Nothobranchius furzeri: one gene and its partners. The protein of the gene in region 1 binds, or shares a complex with, the protein of each later gene. Links are inferred from orthologs where the notes say so. Each region holds a gene or a part of one and is shown on either strand. Other genes may lie near its edges. The genes, in order: tbl1x, coro2aa, zyg11, hdac3 and zer1.

The links.
Region 2: tbl1x (region 1) and coro2aa share a complex: the UniProt entries of both Homo sapiens proteins name them as parts of the N-Cor repressor complex. The link is inferred for Nothobranchius furzeri from reciprocal best matches to the Homo sapiens genes TBL1X and CORO2A.
Region 3: tbl1x (region 1) and zyg11 share a complex: the UniProt entries of both Homo sapiens proteins name them as parts of the E3 ubiquitin ligase complex. The link is inferred for Nothobranchius furzeri from reciprocal best matches to the Homo sapiens genes TBL1X and ZYG11B.
Region 4: tbl1x (region 1) and hdac3 share a complex: the UniProt entries of both Homo sapiens proteins name them as parts of the N-Cor repressor complex. The link is inferred for Nothobranchius furzeri from reciprocal best matches to the Homo sapiens genes TBL1X and HDAC3.
Region 5: tbl1x (region 1) and zer1 share a complex: the UniProt entries of both Homo sapiens proteins name them as parts of the E3 ubiquitin ligase complex. The link is inferred for Nothobranchius furzeri from reciprocal best matches to the Homo sapiens genes TBL1X and ZER1.

Annotation. Positions count from the first base shown.
Region 1 is NC_091754.1:23,373,020-23,377,073, forward strand, and holds the start of tbl1x (F-box-like/WD repeat-containing protein TBL1X), read right to left. Parts: upstream 2,851-4,054; 5' UTR 2,710-2,850; intron 1-2,709. UniProt on the Homo sapiens protein: F-box-like protein involved in the recruitment of the ubiquitin/19S proteasome complex to nuclear receptor-regulated transcription units. Plays an essential role in transcription activation mediated by nuclear receptors.
Region 2 is NC_091744.1:13,219,269-13,222,870, reverse strand, and holds part of coro2aa (coronin-2A), read right to left. Parts: coding exon 3,540-3,602; intron 3,129-3,539; coding exon 2,949-3,128; intron 2,341-2,948; coding exon 2,224-2,340; intron 569-2,223; coding exon 464-568; intron 389-463; coding exon 292-388; intron 1-291.
Region 3 is NC_091748.1:47,405,782-47,409,120, reverse strand, and holds the end of zyg11 (protein zyg-11 homolog), read right to left. Parts: intron 1,222-3,339; coding exon 1,124-1,221; intron 1,027-1,123; coding exon 842-1,026; 3' UTR 832-841; intron 758-831; 3' UTR 541-757; downstream 1-540. UniProt on the Homo sapiens protein: Serves as substrate adapter subunit in the E3 ubiquitin ligase complex ZYG11B-CUL2-Elongin BC. Acts to target substrates bearing N-terminal degrons for proteasomal degradation with the first four residues of substrates being the key recognition elements.
Region 4 is NC_091741.1:31,111,264-31,114,865, reverse strand, and holds part of hdac3 (histone deacetylase 3), read right to left. Parts: intron 1,228-3,602; 5' UTR 1,226-1,227; coding exon 1,125-1,225; intron 1-1,124. UniProt on the Homo sapiens protein: Histone deacetylase that catalyzes the deacetylation of lysine residues on the N-terminal part of the core histones (H2A, H2B, H3 and H4), and some other non-histone substrates.
Region 5 is NC_091746.1:70,679,384-70,683,497, reverse strand, and holds the start of zer1 (protein zer-1 homolog), read right to left. Parts: upstream 2,868-4,114; 5' UTR 2,672-2,867; intron 1,284-2,671; 5' UTR 1,228-1,283; coding exon 1,061-1,227; intron 965-1,060; coding exon 814-964; intron 620-813; coding exon 162-619; intron 1-161. UniProt on the Homo sapiens protein: Serves as substrate adapter subunit in the E3 ubiquitin ligase complex ZYG11B-CUL2-Elongin BC. Acts to target substrates bearing N-terminal degrons for proteasomal degradation with the first four residues of substrates being the key recognition elements.

The DNA of each region.
Region 1 (4,054 bases):
AAAAATATAAGCAATGCATAACTGTGGCCTTCAACCAGCCACTACTTGTATGGGCGTAATTTCAGAGTAACCACTCATGTGCCAGTTGGCTGGTTGCCCATGAACACTGCACACCTCTTTGAGGGGGGTGGAGAAAGGCTCACCTCCCCCCAACGGCCTATCATAAATAAATACTGCTACAGAAATATTTGGATGGCTCAGAACAGAGCATTGTTGCACCACAAGACTGACAAAGGCTTTCTTGGGGACTTCTTTGCCCTACTTTTCCGCAGAAGTTGGCTTTCTGCTTTTAACACAAACTCCCATACAGCTCAGTTCTGCTTCCTTGCAATCAATAGATTTTAATGGCTTTTTTTTAAAACTGTGTAAGGCTGGACAATGTTTTTATATTAAACTGTACACCACAGAAAACAACAACCCCCCAACTAAATTGGCCTTTTGTCTTCAGTAGAAAAAGGTACTATATGCACAAGAGCTGTGTCAAATGACTGCAGTAGTGAAGACATTTATCAGCTCCAGCTCCATCTGACAGCGATTGAAACACGACACCCAGACAGACATCTGGGTCATCTCAACCACAAATTTCATCTGCTCTCATTCAAGCAGGCTAGGAACATAATTCAGACCCACTGAGCATAAAGAAACTAACATAAGATGGGTGTACACTGTGCAATTTCAAGCCTTCCTAAACAAAAAGGTCACCAACAGGAATGAATCATGGCGATACAATTTGGTTGTCCTTTAGGAATGGTAGTGCTCAGCGTACAGTTAACACAATTCAAGAAAACTAAAAGATGTCCAAAATGGAGCATGACCAACGCAATTAGTTAGACCCCACTTTTGAAAACTAACCAATGGAAACATGAAATTCTCCACACAACACTGGTACAAAAGAAGGAACTGCTGTAATATGTAAATAAGCAGCATGATGCTGATTGCTTGAGTGTTTACAGAAACAATAAAGGTTACTAGCCAAAGGTAATAAAGATAAGTTAGGCAAAATGCCTCACAAATGCCCCTGGCTACTCCCGATTGTAAGAACAAAGAGGATGGTGTAACATTTTAAAGGGATAGTTTACATCTTTCAAACTGAGGTGATGTACAAATGTTATGAACAGTCAATATCTTACCTGCGCAAGATAATTCTAACCAACCTGAGAATGAGTTGAATTCACCTCTAATAAGTTTTTTTAAGTGGTTGATACAAACTTTTCTAAACCTTTACATCACCATCAATGTTGCATCACATGATCATTCTGGCATAAATATGAATATCATGCATCAAACAGGAAGTGCTACAAATAGTTAATTCCACTACTACTTTCAGGTGCATATAAGTAGAATTTTAATTAGCAATGGAAGTAATTCGTTATCAGCCCAAAAACACTATCGGTTTATATCGGACTGCACCAAAAATCTCCGATATAAGCAGTCCGTTAAGGTTCACATTTTTGCAACCAACAGTTTTCATACTCTTGTTCTCCGATTGAGTAATATCACATGATTAAGCCTTTCATATATTCCACACCATGAAATAGGTAAAAGATAAGTATGATTGGTGCTGATATCGGATCGGATTGATATCGGCATTGGTCAATACTGAAGGCTGCAATATCGGTATTGTATCGGAGGTAAAAAAGTTGTATCGGGACATCCCTAGTTTTAATTACTAGTGGTTTGTTAAATCGTATGTATGGGAAACCAACGGGTCTCCTTACTAAAGATGGACAGCTGATTGGTCACTTGGGTCAGGTTTTGACTGCATAAAAATGTAAAATGAAAAGGTGCAATACAATATTGCACATATATTGCACACAACTATTGAGAAAAGGCTGAACATAGTCAAGTGAAAAAAAATACATTAGACATTGATCATTATTGGGGAGGACCCCCCCTCCACTGCCATAAGGCAGTTTGGATCTCCCCCCCCCCCCCCCCCCAGTCAAGCCATTTGTTTCCCCCCACTTTTGAAATCAACAACACATCCTTGTGTATGACTAAATAAGCAGTTATATTTTGGATTACTGGGATAGTGCGGTTAAAACAAACAACACACTGTGCTAATGCCTCAATTAGCAAACTGAGAATTTAAGGCCATGTTGGACCTGATTTTAAAGGTGTAAGTCCATTCCTCCATTACTTTATTAATGTATACGCTTTTATATCACGCCAGGTTTGTTATAAACTCGTGTCTGGGCCAAACTGTTACAGCAGCTTGACAGGTACAGCTCAACATTGTAGTTATACAGTAACACAAGTCGTTCCCTTCCCCCACACACACATGCGCTTCCTAACTCAACATGACCATTTTAAATGCTTTCATTCAAATAGAAGCCTAAAACAACAACATATGCAACTGCATGTGCTGGTTGATGACATTATTACAAATGTGGACAAAATAGATGAAACTACTACTTGGAAAAGAGGGACAACATATCAAAAGTGTATTTCGTCAAGCACTCCAAAGACTCATTGCATAATTTGAGCATTTAAAAAAAGTGGCAGAAAAAGTTGGGCTTTGCAACAATGTAGGAGAAAATTAAAAGACGCAATTAGGAATTGGAACACACGTGTGGAGTCAGCGCGAGCCGGTTACGCCATAATCCATCTATTTCTGAAAGTCGTTATCTGCTTCGAATAAAGCCCAAACTGGGAGAACGGAACAGTCCGGGTACAGTGCATCGCCGCGCCTCGAGCCTCCGGGCTTACCGTTTCTTACTGTGAGAGTGAACTCGTGGTGTCCGCCGCCACCTCTTCCTCTTCCACAAGGAGAACCTCCAACTTCAGTAAGCGAGAAAACACTTTCCTCCCATCTTGCTTATCGTCATATTTCAAGTTCCGACCGCGCAGTATGACTCACTGTCGGCTTATTTTTGCTGTGCCACCAGAGCGTGTTCGCCCCAGACACCGTCACAACTGGCGGACACGAGAGGAGGAATAAAAAAAAAAGTTGGAACCAGCCCGAGTTTCTGTGGCTGTGGGGCGCAGGCTGTTCCGTGGAGTTTCACCGTTCACTGAGAACCGGGAGCGGAGAGAGACACTCAGCAGCGCGAGACTCGCACGAGAGGGGGGGAGGTGGGGTGAAGGCTGCTTGACCTTAAACCTGGATACTCTACACGGAATTTTCTTTAATTACTGACTTAATTAGCTAAACTGGGCCACCACACGCCATGATATAATAACGTGTTTCTTTAATCATTCGTTTTGTAAAGCAAACACGCAACTATAGCATTTTTTATCACTCAGTTCTATAATTAGGGTTTATATTTAACCAGTAAACTACATTTCCTATTGCTTATGGTATCAAGTTGCTACATATTATTGTATTGCTTTCGTGTGTTGTTTTGTAGTTTAAGCACACTGCTGAGTACACTCCAGCATGCTGGCCTGCTTTAAGCCACTTCCCTTCCCCCACAACGCTATTTTTCGCCTGCCTGGTCACACAGTGGTTGATTAATTCTCCTTTCGCCTTGCTCAGTCATTCAGATTTGGAAAGTAAATAACAAGTTGACATCAGTGTGACACATTCCTTTGGTTACCGTACACACTGTAGAATCTGCGCAATACTTATTTTGCAAACAATGACAGCATTTTGATTTGGTACAGTGTGTAATCATGGGCAGATTACTGAGTGGGCTCACCATGCAAACTATTTGGAGGCCGATGCACAATGAAAACGCCATGAAATGGTCGCAAAGATCCTAAATTAGTCCAATAAACAACACAAAAATAGATAAATGGGAACACGTCGTTTTGCCAAGCTAGAAACTGATTAACACAAAAACAAAACAGGCCCTCAAATGGCCTCCTTTTGTTTTGCAGTGAATTTTACAGTCTAGAGCAATAAATAAATAATTTACAAAGCTTTCATTCTCTTTAGTTGTAACCACATTGAGCTCTTTCAGATCTTTTTCCATGCTTCTCCACGCTGCAGCAGCATACTGTTGCAACAGCTAAATCCAAACTCAAGACCTCAAAACAGCAGTGCACAAATCAATGGGTAATTTCATGGTGGCTGCATCCATTAGTCTTTGATCATAGCCAATTTAGAGAA
Region 2 (3,602 bases), on another chromosome or scaffold:
ACGTGTGTGTGTGTGTGGTCATGGACGTAATTTTCACTTTAGAAGTGGGGGGGACCCGGGGGGGGGGGGGGGGGGGGGGGTTGGAGGACAGTTATCTGATGGGAAACAGGCTTCAACACAAACGGTTGTTTTCTGCTTGGTCCTAGAGCTCAATCAGTGTCAATTTAATATAGCGTAATATTGTTTTTGGATGGTTAAAAAGTGCAGGGGTCAAAATTTGACTTTGGAAAAAGTGGGGGGGACATGTCCCCCCTGTCCCCCCAAAATTACGTCCATGTGTGTGGTCCTTACCCAATCCTTTCTGAGGTACATGTGAGCGATACTCCGTTAGAAAGTGGATGTAGGGTTTTTCTGAGCTGATCTCATAATATCTGATGTTTCCATCACCCTGTGAAACAGTGAAACTCTTGTGAAGACAAGATCTGATGCAGTATTTTGGATTATGAATCAGTTTTGGATTTACCTTGCCAGCTAGGTAGAGCATGTGTGTGTCAGGGTCGTAGAAAGGGAAAATGACCCCGGAGGAACCATCCAGGTTCTCCTGCAACAAGGGCCCCGACAGATCGTCCTACAAACACACACGAAGATTACGAAAAATGAAATGCACAACAAACAAGAAAATCCCCCTGATATGAAACTACTGAATCATTTTAATCCACAGCTGTAGAAGAGCTGAATTAAAACTGAGTGCTTCATCTCTAATCCATGTTCTGCTTTAATCCCCCGCCCACGATGCACACCCACCCCTCACAGTGCAGACTCCCGGGTGTGGTCAGAGCGCTGCGTGGGGAAAGGTGCAACTCTGAATTTATTTCATCTTAAACTGTGGCAAGTTCAGGTAAACTGATGAGAGGTTTAGTTATTATCTGTCCACTAGATGGCAGCATTGCACATCACACTGAAGCTACACACCTGGAATGATTTCAGTATCTGGTGAGGGGGCCTAAATCTCATCACCAATGAAACCAGGGTTCAGTAAATTAAAACAAGGAGACAAAACAAGCAAGGATACTTTAAAAATCAAAGTATATTACAGAGAACAGAAAATAAGAATTACAAAGAAAAATAATAATTGAGATCATCCTTCCAATAGCAGCTAGCTTAAGGGCTGCGACTAGACTCATAGAATCTGGGGTTATAATACGTAACCAACGTTCTTTGCACTAAATCTTTTCTCAGTGGTCTAGTGGTAGAGTGTCCGCCCTGAGACTGGGAGATCAGGGGTTCGATTCCTGGTCGGGTCATACCAAAGACTTTGAAAAAATGGGACCCAATGCCTCCCTGCTTGACACTCAGCATTAAGGGGTTGGATTGGGGGGTTAAACCACCAAATGGTTCCCGAGCGCGGCTGTGTCTGCTGCTCACCGCTCCCCCAGGGGATGGGTCAAATGCGGAGAACAAATTTTGCACACACACCTGTGTGTGACAACTAATGGGACTTTAACTTTAAATCCCTCTCACATAAAGCTATTTCAGTTGTTTTATTCTTAGCATTTTCAGTACCTTCCAGAATGAGCCGTTTCAGGGCTCTGTCACTTTAAGAAAACAATCTGGAGCTGGACACGCTCCCCCCTCCCCCACTCAGGCTGCTGAAAGCTGAGAATCTCTGATATCCAGGGGGGCTCTGGGGAGAGCCACTGCTCCTCCGGCCGCAGCTCTCTCTTGCACATGAAAGGCGGTTCTATCCTAATTTGTGATATCACAAATGGGGACTTTTTGAATTGGCTTATTTTAGGCACATAATTCCTAAAACCAAACACTGACAAAGAACGTATGGATGGATTTCTTTCATGTTTAGAGTGGTAATAGAGGCAGTGAAGACCCACATGGCAGCACAAAAGGATGCAAAAGCTGAGTTTTGCATTGTATGTCCCCTTTAAAAACAAATCTTTGTTTTTGGATATCTAGTAGTTAAGAATAAAAGTCTCTTAACAAGTCAAAATAAAACATTTTAAATAAAATCCAGCCTCCCTAAATAATAAATGAGTCCAAACAGAATTATAGCAGAAGAAGCTGATGTCCTCTTTAGGGAACGTGGGGTCCCGTGGAGCTAATGATGAGCAGAATCGAGTCATAATCCACATTTCTTCACAAGAACAGAAGTAAGCCAGTTTTGTCTGAGTTGTCATGATGTATTTAAGAATAATCTACAGAAAATGCCCAAGCTCAGAGCAGCAGAACAGATAAATATTTGTAAACGGGCCCAAGGGCAGCAGGTCTCACCTGATCCCACAGAGCGATCTGTCGATCGTTGTAGCGCGAGGTGCCAGACGTCAAAAGCATCTTCATGTTTCCAAGAATCAGCACCTTACTGGCTTTGTGTGTTTTGCAGTTACCTTCCTGCAAAAAAGGGTTAGAAAAGACAACAAAAAGTGAAGGTCTCCCATCTGAAAGACCTGATGGTTGAAGTAAATATGATGGATTGTTTTGTGAAAACATCTCCACACAACAGGTTTAAAATAAAATAAAAATATCTATTTTTCTGCTGCGGCGTTTTATTGTCTCTGAGCAAAAGTGTTCAACAGAAAGTGACAGCGGACTAAATTAAAAGTGGGTGTGCTTCAGTGGCTGCTGACCCAGAGGTCTGAGCAGCCCGCTGTGATCCAGGCCAGGACTAAGGTGTCAGTTTTGGCTGTGTGGTGCTGGATGAGTGCCGCGGTGCTGCAGCCATGGAGACTCCAGCTAACACCCGGCTGTGAGGCTCCTACAACACCGGACCAAAAACTCTAAAGTTCAATAAGTTCATTTAGCAAAACTAAAGTCCATGATTAGCTCACTAGATTTATCTCTGTTTGGATTTCCTTTAGCAAACAAAAACAATTTGTTTCAATCTTCAGCTGGATGAAAAACAAGCTACTTCCTGATACGCTTGTGCTGATCTCCTGAGCTGAACTCAAAGGTGGAAGCAACCTAAGATCAATGACTGCACGCATTAATGTGTAGCATACCTGCAGCAAGTTCCCCGAGCGAGGCTCCATCAGCCGGACCTTCCTGTCCCTGCAGGTGGTGGCGAAGAGGCTGCCATCTGTGTTGAAGGACATGGACAGAACCACATCGGTGTGGTGGCTGATGGTCCGGACCGGGTTCTTCATCACCTGCTCTGGAGAGTCCAGGTTCCAGATCATCACCTGGAGGGACACACACACACGCACGCACGCACGCACACGCACACACACACACACACACACACACACACACACACACACAAGTTTGAACCAGACTTTTAAAACGTGGAAGGTTACGACCTAGATTATATCTCTTAATGGTCCGTTTTTATTACCAATGCTAGGAAGATGATCAGCCATAATGTCATTCTGGTCAATAAGCTAACGCCTGAAGCTGGATCTAGAGGCGTGCTGTAATGGTCACAACAATAGCACATTCTGTTTATATCTCAAAGGAATTCACGCCGTTTAACACAGCTGTGTGTGTGAAAGCACACCGGAGCTGTTTGAGAGTCTCTTCATTTTGTGATTTAAGAAAGAAGCTGGAAGCAAATCTAGATTGGGCCGCAGGTGTGCAGGTGGGGTTTGTGTCACCTTGTAGTCGTAAGCTGTGCTGAAGAGGATGTTGTTAGCTGTCGGGTGCCACTCGATGAGGCC
Region 3 (3,339 bases), on another chromosome or scaffold:
AAACTAAATTATGTACATTCAGATTTCCCATTCTCTGCTTAGCTGGTTTATCCGTAGATAAATCTGATCAGAGAAATTCACATAAACGTAAATAAACTGTGCTCTGGGGTTTGTTAAACTCGACTGTAGTTGTATCATTTTATTTGTAATATTTAACACCTCTGGTGACCCTTTTTTTTCAATGATGTTAAAGATTTTGTCTAATTAAGGAACATTTTAAGAAGTGGCACCGTTGACCCATAAACAAGCCAGCAGGCACCTTCTAAACCAACAGTACAAAGATTCAGACCAGCATGCTTGAGCTCACAGCAGAGTCATGCATAGATTTGAAAAGTAACCAAACAATTCAGACAATACATTTGGGAGTACCTCTAGTGCAGCGGGGAGTTGACCCTCTGCTCAGATCTCAGAGCATTTTCATCTTTTTGGTAAAAAAATAAAACCATCATGCTGCTAAAGTCATCCTAACAAACGCGAGCACAAACACAAACTCCAAGCTGAGCGGAACGGACCGACAGCTTATAAATGTTTCATCACAGGATTTGCACACAGAAATGTTTTGTTGCTTTGACAAAAAGAAATAAATAGGTTCAGCATGTGCAAAGTATTGCAATGTCTCTGTCTTTTACCCTCTTGAGATTTTAGGAATTCATGCACACTTGTGTGCAGGATGTGCATCACAGCTGCACACGCACGTGCAACTCTCCACTCTGTTGTGGGATCAAGTCCTCTTCTTCTTAGTCGGGAGCATAGTCACCTAAAAGAGGCATAAAAGAATGGAGGACATCAGACCACTGAGAGTGCACCGGCTCAACATGCGCTTTCCTTTACCTTGGACGTGTTACTGAGAGGGGGGGTGTCTGCTTGTGCACGCCGGCTGGCCGGTGCGGGCTCTGTGGCGCTGCAGGCTCTCCAGAATGCTTTCAGCCAGAAGCCTGACGTCTCTGTGGGTCTGTGGGTGTGCATTAACGTGCTCAAGCTGCTGCAGGCCGCCCTCCTCCAACAACATGCTGCAGTAACGAGAAGCTGCAGCGCAGTTTGGGTCAATTAGCATCTGTAAAGCGGAAGACTCAGGGGAAGTTTAGTTTAGTTTTAAAGGTGTGTGTGTGTGTGTGTGTCTTACCATTTTTGCTGCACACATGTTGCATGGCCCAGGCTGCCCATAATTGGACACCCGGTGTGTGAAAACACTCCAGGAGTGGAAAGAAAGGGTTAAAAGACCTAAAAAATGAATAGAATGAGGAAATGGATTCATTTCTGTTACCTTGCCACTTTGACACAAAGCTACAAGGTTTTGCTTAAACTTTTGTGTTTTATCATTTGGCTTGTGATCTTAATTTGTATTAAATTATCTTTTTATTTTTTATTTTTGTCTTTTAATCATGTTTTAATTGTGATGTGATTTTCTCTGATCCTTTTCCGTGACAGGTACTATGTAAATAAATTTTACTTACCTTTACTCACCTAAAAATACATCAATCAGAATCACCCTAAATCAAGGTTTGACCCTTTTCCATAGCAGAACATCGTTGTTCATATTAGATGGTTGGCATTAACACGTTTCCTAATTTTTCACAGTTTAGGACTTATTAGGTATTAATGAGAAAAAGGAAAATTATTCACATCTGTAAAATTCACACACACACACACACACACACACACCTAGTTAATCCTGTGTCTCGATGAAGTGCAACTGCTGGAGATAAATTGCAAACAACATTGACGAGAAGTTTCCACAGGGTCTGAAAATGTTCATTATGTGAGTTGCTGCTAAGCCTCAATCCCATGTTGCTCGAACTTGAAAGACGTTCAAAAGCTTCTCTCTTACTGACACGGGCAGCTGAAAACTACCTCAAACCACTTTTAGGTTGGCATCGATGAGAAGTGTGAGACTTGGTGACTAAACTGCAACTGGAACATTTCCAAAACAGTTTTCATTCTTTTCATGTTTATGTTTATTTATTTGGCAGATGCTTTTATCCAAAGCGACTTACAATTTATAACCTATAGGGCATGTTGTGATCTGTGGGGGAAACCGGAGTACCCGGAGGAAACCCACACATGCATGGGGGAGAACACGCAACTTCATGCAGAAAGGCCGCAGCAGAGTTTCGAACCTGCAACCTTCGTGCTGCGAGGCAACAGTGCTAACCACTGCGCCACCATGCACTCAGCCATGTGTAAAACATCATGCGTGTCATTGCAGTGGGGTTCGAGCTGAAAATGTGTAGATTTTCTGTCAAATTTGCGCCTCCAATGTTTGACAGTCTTGTAAGATATTGGCCTAATTAATCAGTTTAAAATGATATTCTAAGACTTCCATCTTCCAGTGAAGGTGTACCAACAACACATTTTTGTACAAGTTTAAGGTATTTATACTCTTTTAGGTGTCTGGTTCTTCAATTCCCACCTCTGACAGAACTTCCAAAATGTTCTGGGGGAGGCGGGGGACATTGAGTCTGAATGGACCCTGTTCCATGTCTCCATTGTTGAGGCGGCCGACCGGAGCTCTGGTCGCAGGATCGTCGGTGCCTGTCGTGGTGGCAACCCCCGAACCCGCTGGTGGACACCGGCGGTTAGGGATGCTGTCAAGCTGAAGAAAGAGTTCTATCAGGTCTTTTTGGCCTGTGGGACTCCAGAGGCAGATGACGGGTACCGGCAGTCCAAGCGGAACGCGGCTCGGGTGGTCGCCAAGGCAAAAACCGGATATGGGAGGAGTTCGGTGAGACCATGGAGCAAGACTTCCGTACGGCTATGAGGAGATTCTGGTCCACCATCCGGCGCCTTGGGGGGGAAAGCGGTGCGCTACCAACACTATCTATAGTGGGGACGGTGTGCTGCTGACCTCTACTCAGGATGTTGTGGATCGGTGGACAGAATACTTTGAAGACCTCCTCAATCCCACACGTCTTCCAGTGAGGAAGCAGAGTCTGGGGACTTTAGGTTAAGCTCTCAAATCTCTGGTGCGGAGGTCACTGAGGTGGTTAAAAAGCTCCTCTGTGGCAAGGCTCCAGGGGAGGATGAGATCCGCCCAGAGTTCCTTAAGGCTCTGGATGTTGTGGGGCTGTGTTGGCTGATGCGGCTCTGCAATACCACGTGGACATCGGGAGCAGTCCCACTGGACTGGCAGACCGGGGTGGTGGTCCCCTTATTTAAAAAGGGGGACCGCAGGGTGTGTTCCACCTACAGGGGGATCCCACTCCTGAGCCTTCCTGGTAAGATCTATTCAGGGGTTCTGGAGAGGAGGGTCCGTCGGATTGTTGAACCTCAGATTCAGGAGGAGCAATGTGGTTTTCGTCCTGGCTGTGGAACACTGGACCAGCTCTATACCCTTAGGGA
Region 4 (3,602 bases), on another chromosome or scaffold:
GCACTCCGCTGTTTTTGCGGTCGGTAGATCTGCCTCCTGCGCAAGGCAACAGTAACATTATCAAATCAGGTGTCGCCACCTCAAAAACTAATTTAACACGCGATTGTTCATGTCGGTTTATTTCCTTTAATGTTTTCTGTCTTTTATTTGCGCCTGATGCGTTTCGCTGTGGAGCGGGGCGCATCACCTTGTCATCCGGTGAAGCACCGATCACGCTGCCACCAAGCAGCGAGCACTCCGCTGTTTTTGCGGTCGGTAGATCTTTTAGAACTGCAGTTCAAAGGTAACTCATAAGGTGAATATATATGAACCCAGGTAGCAGTTTTTCTTTAGGATTGAGAGGAGATGCAGGAAGATAATAAACAGGCAGGACAGAAAAATAGTCAAATAAAAACAAGTTAGTGTTTGTACCTGCTGGTTGCAACAAACAGACACCACTGAAGGTAATCAGAAGTGAGGAACAGAAAATGAAATAATTATTTTAATGTTTAGAGCAGCAGGAACTCTGAGAGGCTGCAGGCGCATCAGTGAGTTTGCGGCCGCTGCGCAGGGGGAGGGGGGAGATGGCTGAAGCAGGGGGAGGGGGGAGATGGCTGAAGCAGGGGGAGGGGGGAGAGGGCTGAAGCAGGGGGAGGGGGGAGAGGGCTGAAGCAGGGGGAGGGGGGAGATGGCTGAAGCAGGGGGAGGGGGGAGATGGCTGAAGCAGGGGGAGGGGGGAGAGGGCTGAAGCAGGGGGAGGGGGGAGAGGGCTGAAGCAGGGGCAGGGGGGAGAGGGCTGAAGCAGAAACTACCGTTGTTAAAAGAAATGTGTTTAACTTTGAAAATGTGGGCACAATTTTAATTGTCAAAAACTCCAGCGAACCATTAGTTCATTTTGCTCAAATAGAAATAGAGGCCTGCCTCTAATTCTGGCCCTCTTTCCAATAAAGGCCTGGAGCTTGATGAGCTTGAGTCAAATACAGGCCCGGGCCTGTATTAGAGGATTTACGGTATGTAGTTATTCACATTTAACAGGTCTTGCACCTAATCCATGATCAAGAGGCTAACAAAAACATTTTCTGGCATCAAAACATTGCAGTTGTGTATATTATTGTTTCTACACTTGTTGCTGTGATGCAACTTACCTGTATTCTTTTTTTATCCAGCTGGTGAGGGACCCACTGCCTTTAGCTGCCTCAAGTAGCTCATTCTGTCGCTGCTTCCGCCTCCTCTCCTTACGAGGCATGTCTGTACAATGATAAATCATAATTAATTTACAAATATTTTTTCATGCATATAAAACTCATGCATACACACACTGGGACATTTCATTCCTTTTCCAGAAAACTAACTGTATATAATTTGGCCACACATTTGCTTCATGATGCTGATCTAGAATATTTCCATACTATTTTAATTATAGTGCTTTAGTAATTATAATAAAAATAAAGAATAAAACAATATGTTTATGCTTTCATTCAGTTTTACTATCTACTTTGTGCAAAACAGAACTGTACAGATAAAATAATTTTGCTGTGAAAACAGTAGTATTTTTTTTAAATGTACATCTTTAAAACATAACGTAACATAACAACATAACAAAACAACGACATAAGAAGGAGTAGAGGAAAATGTTAACTGCTGGGCGAAAAAGAAGAGAAGATGTGTGGAGTCAATTTTCTTATGATAACATTGCTACCAAAACTACATGCCGAGAGTGTGGACTGTCGTTCCGAGGAAAGAACACAACAAATCTGAAGAGGCATCTACAGAATGGCCACTTCGCCATTTTCTCCGAGGTAAATCCACTTAAATGTTGTACACGTGACGACCCGAAAAGTAACATACAGGCAAATAAAACTGTACCAACTCTGTCATGTTGGGATAAAAATTCGGAAGTACTGTATTTTCACGACTATAACGTGTGTTATTAGGGAAATAGCGGGCGAGCAGTGTTGATGCATGATTGCGCATGCACCGTGAGCGGTTCTGGTACTTTTTGGGTCGCAGCCGCTCGCTACACGTGCGCTCTAAACCAGGACTAGACCAGTAGAGTGAAGCATGCTGTTGGTTGTTTATAATTTTCACAATGTCTGGTTTGCACTGATATGATCCGAGTCCCGAGCCCGCACAGATGTTTTACCGGTTCGTTTTATAACGACTAAGACTAAAATAAAATTAAAATTTCCTGTCAAAATTAACACTGGTTAAGAGTCCCAGACACGCGGTTCCATCCATCTGTCATGACCCGAGACAACTCTGGACTGAAGAGTCGGTGCCACGGTATTCTACAGCCCTTCGGCGCCAGAGGTCAACCGACCTCTCTGATTTTCGGACCCACCAAGAGGGTCTCCAGAATTGGTGAAGTAGACACACAGATAGCATCTAATGTGCTTTTTGATAATGATCAACTACATAGCTTAGTGCAACCCAAATTCTTTTACATCCAGAACTCAGCTTTCCTAGATCCAGAAGTTCTGATAACACCACATTCACCCATAGGTTTCATACATCACATCTAGTTCCATCCACTCACAGCAAATGTTAGTTAACTTGTCATGTTTAATTGTTTGTAAAATAAATTCTTACTTTTATAAACCTGACTCTTTGCTGAATCAAAACAAAGTGTGTACAATCCCTTAATAAATAAAGAATCCTAGATAAATCCTGATAAACACACAAAGACCAAGCAGGGTTGATATTCTATATTTAGATAGAGTATCACAGCTTATTGGTCACAAGTAGAGGTAATATATATATTGAGCTCTTAAGCACTCAATTCCCTAAACTCTACAATGTTTACAAAAATAACTTGAACACCATCCATCCATTTTCATCCGCTTATCCGGAGTCGAGTCGCGGGGGCACTAGCCTAAGGTGAGAGGCCCAGACTTCCCTCTCCCCAGCCACTTGGGCCAGCTCCTCCGGGGGAATCCCAAGGCGTTCCCTGGCCAGGTGAGAGACATAGTCCCTCCAGTGTGTCCTGGGTCTACCTTTAGGTCTCCTCCAGGTTGGACGTGCCTGGAAAACCTCACCAGGGAGGCGTCCAGGAGGCATCCTGACCAGATGCCCGAGCCACCTCAACTGGCGCCTCTCGATGTGGAGGAGCAGCGAGTCTACTCTGAGCCCCTCCCGAATGGCCGAGCTACTCACCCTATCTCTAAGGGAGAGCCCAGCCACTCTTCAGAAAAAACTCATTTCTGCCGCTTGTATCTGCGATCTTGTTCTTTCGGTCAATACCCAAAGCTCATGACCATAGGTGAGGGTAGGAACATAGATCGACCGGTAAATCAGAGTCAGAATCAGAATCAGAATAGGTTTATTGCCATTGTCAGTGAACAAACAATTCAGAAACTAGGAACTTGCTTTGGTACTAATGTGCTACATATAACATGAATAATAATAAGATTAAAAATAGAATAAAATAGAATAAAAATAGAAGGAAACTTTCAGCTATAAAAAATGGCAGGTAGTGTTAACATGGCTGATAACGTGATGTTGTGTCAAGTGCAGAAGACCAGCATGGCTGTGTATTTATAATCTATTCACAAGTCTAACGGCAGACGGAAAGAAGCTGTTCTTATGGCAGGAGGTTCTGGTCCGGATGGACCGTAACCTCCTGC
Region 5 (4,114 bases), on another chromosome or scaffold:
TGGGATAAATTAAAGACAACTGTCAGGTTTTTGGAATTCTTATTCCTGTGTGAGACCCCGGTGTCGTAGAAGCTCCTGGATTTTTAGGAAAAAACTGAAGTATGGCTTGAAAAACAAGGAATGCCCTCTACGAAGATTAGTCTCCGCCCACCCCACCTTACCTGAGATTAACCAGCTCCAGTATGGTGCAGAGCAGCTCCTCGGACAGCTCCACGTTGTACAGAACCAGAGATGCCAGCCTGTCCCTCCACTGGGAGAGGAAAGCCGCTCCCTGTAAGTTCACGTTGGACAGATCCAGAGAGGTGATGGACCTGAGGGGTTTGAGCAGACGCTCAGCGTTCACTGCTTCAGGTAGACCCGCCAGGTTCAGCAGCCTGAGGCGGTTAAAGCCCTGGAAGCTAAAGTCCAAATCTAACACCCGCCAGGAGGCAGACCTGTCCTCCTCCTCCTCTTCCTCGCTGTCTTCGTTACAGGCCAGAGGAGGTCCCACTTTCTTACAGAAGATCTGGCTGCAGCCGAACAGGCAGAGAGACACCAACGTCTCCCGGAAACAGGTGAGTGTCTTCAGGCTGCGGGGCGTCAGGCTGTGGCAGCAGGTGAGGCTGAGTTCAATCAGGTCCTGGAAGAACAGAGCCCGTTTATCTCTGAACCAAGGGAAGGTTCCCCTCACCGGTCCATCAGGATGTGGCCCCAAAACTACACATAAGCCCCGCCCCAGCATCATGTGACGCCGGTTTATCTCAAAGAACAAACAGAAAACTATTCTGCTCGTTTGGTTCTGTCTCTAGAAAGGCCACAACATCACACCCCCACCTGTTTCCGTATGGCCTCCAGGTCTCGGTCCAGAACCAAGTTCTCCCTCAGCTGAACCCGGGTCAGCCTAGTGCTCCGAGGGTCCGCGAACAGCTGGAAGAAACTCTCCTCTGGTTCAAAGTAACTGTCGGTGTGGACCAGCTCCACGTACCTGGTGAAGACGGAGAAAAGACAGGCGAGTGTGTGAGGTGTGGGTTACAGGTGTGTGTGTGTGTGGGGGGGGGGGGGGGGGTGATCTGTTACATACGTGTTGACCAGCTTGTCACAGATTTCACTCGGCAGGAAGATGTCGGAGCGCAAGAGCAGCCGGTTCCTGAGTCCTTGGTAACACATGGTCTTCCTCAGGTTCCTGAGGCAGAACACCGTCGCCAGAGCCATGAGGCTGTCCGGGTCGTCTCCAGCTTTAGCGGCCATGTTGGCCCCTTTATCCCGGTCTCAGGTTAAAGATGGACGGAGCGGGGGAGGGGGACCTGAAAGAACACCCAATCGCCGAAACTAGAAATCATCATTTTCTAACCCTAACCCTCAACAGCAGCAGTTTCATGAACATGTTTATTGTTGTTGTTGTTGTTTAGAATAACAAACATTCCTCTGATGTGTCCAGAGACTGGAGCACAACCCAACCTGTCCCAGAACACATGATCTAGGCCAGAAGCCTGGACTGGATCCGTTTTTAAAGCATTTAACTTGAGCTAGAGACAAGCTAAAGCATCAGCTGATCAGAACCAGTCCAATAAACCTGATGGGATTTTTACAGGTCAGTGAACGCACCACAGTTATGGGGTCCATGAACTCTCATTGCTAGGCACCAGTTTGTCTCCTGCCGCTGATCTGGGACCAGCAGCCTAAGCAAGGAGGCCCAGACTTCCCTCTCCCCAGCCACTTGGGCCAGCTCCTCCGGGGGAGTCCCAAGGCGTTCCCTGGCCAGGTGAGAGACATAGTCCCTCCAGCGTGCCCTGGGTCTTCCCTTGTGTCTCCTCCTGGTTGGACGTACTCTAAAAACCTCACCAGGGAGGCGTCTAGGAGGCATCCTAATCAGGTGCTCGAGCCACCTCAACTGGCTCCTCTCCATGTGTGCGATGAGCTATAACAGATGTTTTTATTTCCACTTTCAGAATTTAAACCAGTGAGACTTTTAACCTGATTACGTGGTTTTAGTTGTCAGAGATAATTCTACATCTGCAGGCAGATGGAGAGCAATGAGAAATCGGTATCGGCCCAGTAAATCTGAAGAGGTGCACTTGCAATAATCACCTTATTTACTTAATAAACTGATAATATCTTAAATTATTAACGTTGACTTAAGATCAAACACACCGAGTGCAACACTCTGGGAAGGTGACATGACCGAGTTTGATGGGAAACAAGAACAGATGGATAATTAGTGATAAACTTTACAACCACTGCAGCCAACCCAACCACTTCTCACCTGTTACCTGCAGCCTGGGTCCGGTGGCCCGGTTCGGTTCTGTCTTTGTGTGTGAACACAGGTGGACCCAGAAAGAGACGGACCGTTGACAAGTTAGCGGGCTAACGAGCTACAGCTAGCTGCTTGTTTGGAAGAATTCGCCGTGAAGGTTTTAAATCTGCTGACAAACTGGAAATATCACACCGAACCATAAGTTCCGGTCCACACGCTCAGCGAAACTACTTCTTATTAAAAGTTCGGCCTTATTAACCGGTACCGGTTCGTTTTAAGGTCCAAACTAGCCTGATGCTAGCTGTGACTTTCCCCGCTGTGATACTAGCAAGAAGGCTAACAGAACCGGAGAGCTGAGCGGTACCACAACACCGGCTCCCGGTGGCTGGTACCGGGTCAGCGGCGTCAGCCCGCCCGGTTCTTCAGACGGAACCTTACCTGAGCTGTCCCCGAGGAGGTGTCTCGTTGAGGGGGACAAAACCAGGCGTTATCGGCTGTCCTCACTCATCTGATTTCGGATTCGTCCCGATGTCAACAAACAGACTCCTCCTCTCACTTCTACTTCTCCTGCTGCTCCTTCCTCTGCTCTTCCCACCTCCTCTCCGTCTGCTGCCACTTCCTGCTGCTGTCAGCACCGCTGCGCTCCGGCCCAGCTCGGCTCACCTGTGAGACCGCAAAGGAAACACCTGAGAACACCTGAACGCGTTTTAAGGTTTAATAATCAGCCTCGAGTTTTATCAGCACATAAAAGAGAAGGTAGATAGATAGATAGATAGATAGATAGATAGATAGATAGATAGATAGATAGATAGATAGATAGATAGATAGATAGATAGATAGATAGATAGATAGATAGATAGATAGATAGATAGATAGATATATGATAGATAGATAGATAGATAGATAGATAGATAGATAGATAGATAGATAGATAGATAGATAGATAGATAGATAGATAGATAGATAGATAGATAGATAGATAGATAGATAGATAGATAGATAGATAGGGACCTCAGCCTCCTCAGGAGGTGCTGGTGAGGTGAACACTGGGTACTTAAAGGTATCCACCATCTCCATGTCTGCTCCCTGGATGTTTACTGGTGAGTGAGGAGGAGTGCTTCTCTGGAAGTCAGTCATTTCCTTTGTCTCACTGGTGTTTAAGCGAAGGTGGTTACCCTCACACCAGTTCACCAAGTCCATGATGACTGACCTGTACTCCAGGTCATTCCCCTCAGACACACAGCCGACAATGGCCGAGTCATCAGAGAACTTCTGGAGGTGACAGCTGCTGGTGTTGTAGGTGAGGTCTGAAGTGTAGAAGGTGAAGAGAAAGGGAGAGAGCATCGTACCCTGTGGAGCTCCAGAACTGCACACAACCACCTCAGACGCACAGTTGTGCAGCCTCGCGTACTGTGGCCTGTTGGTGAGGTAGTTGATGGTCCATGCAGTCAGATGTTCTTCCACTCCTGCACCCCTCATCTTCTGCTGCAGTAGACACGGCTGGATGGTGCTGAAGGCACTTGAGAAGCAGAAGAACACGATTCTCACAGTGTTCTTTCACATCTCGAGGTGAGTCAGCGCCCGGTGCTGCAGGTATGGTTTATATGCAGATCGCAGTGGGTCTGTTTAGCATAGCATAGCATAGTTTATTTATATAGCACGTTTAAAATGCAGCATGGGAGCTGCCCAAAGTGCTGCACAGGCTAAAACAAAACACAATCATTACAAGGAGCTAAAACAGAGGATAAAAATCTCAATCAAAGGCAGATAAACCATGATGAATACTAAGAACACAATTAAAACAATGATACAATAAAACACTAAAACGAGTCACTGTCTAAAAGCCAAAGTGTAAAAGTGGGTCTTTAAACGAGATTTAAA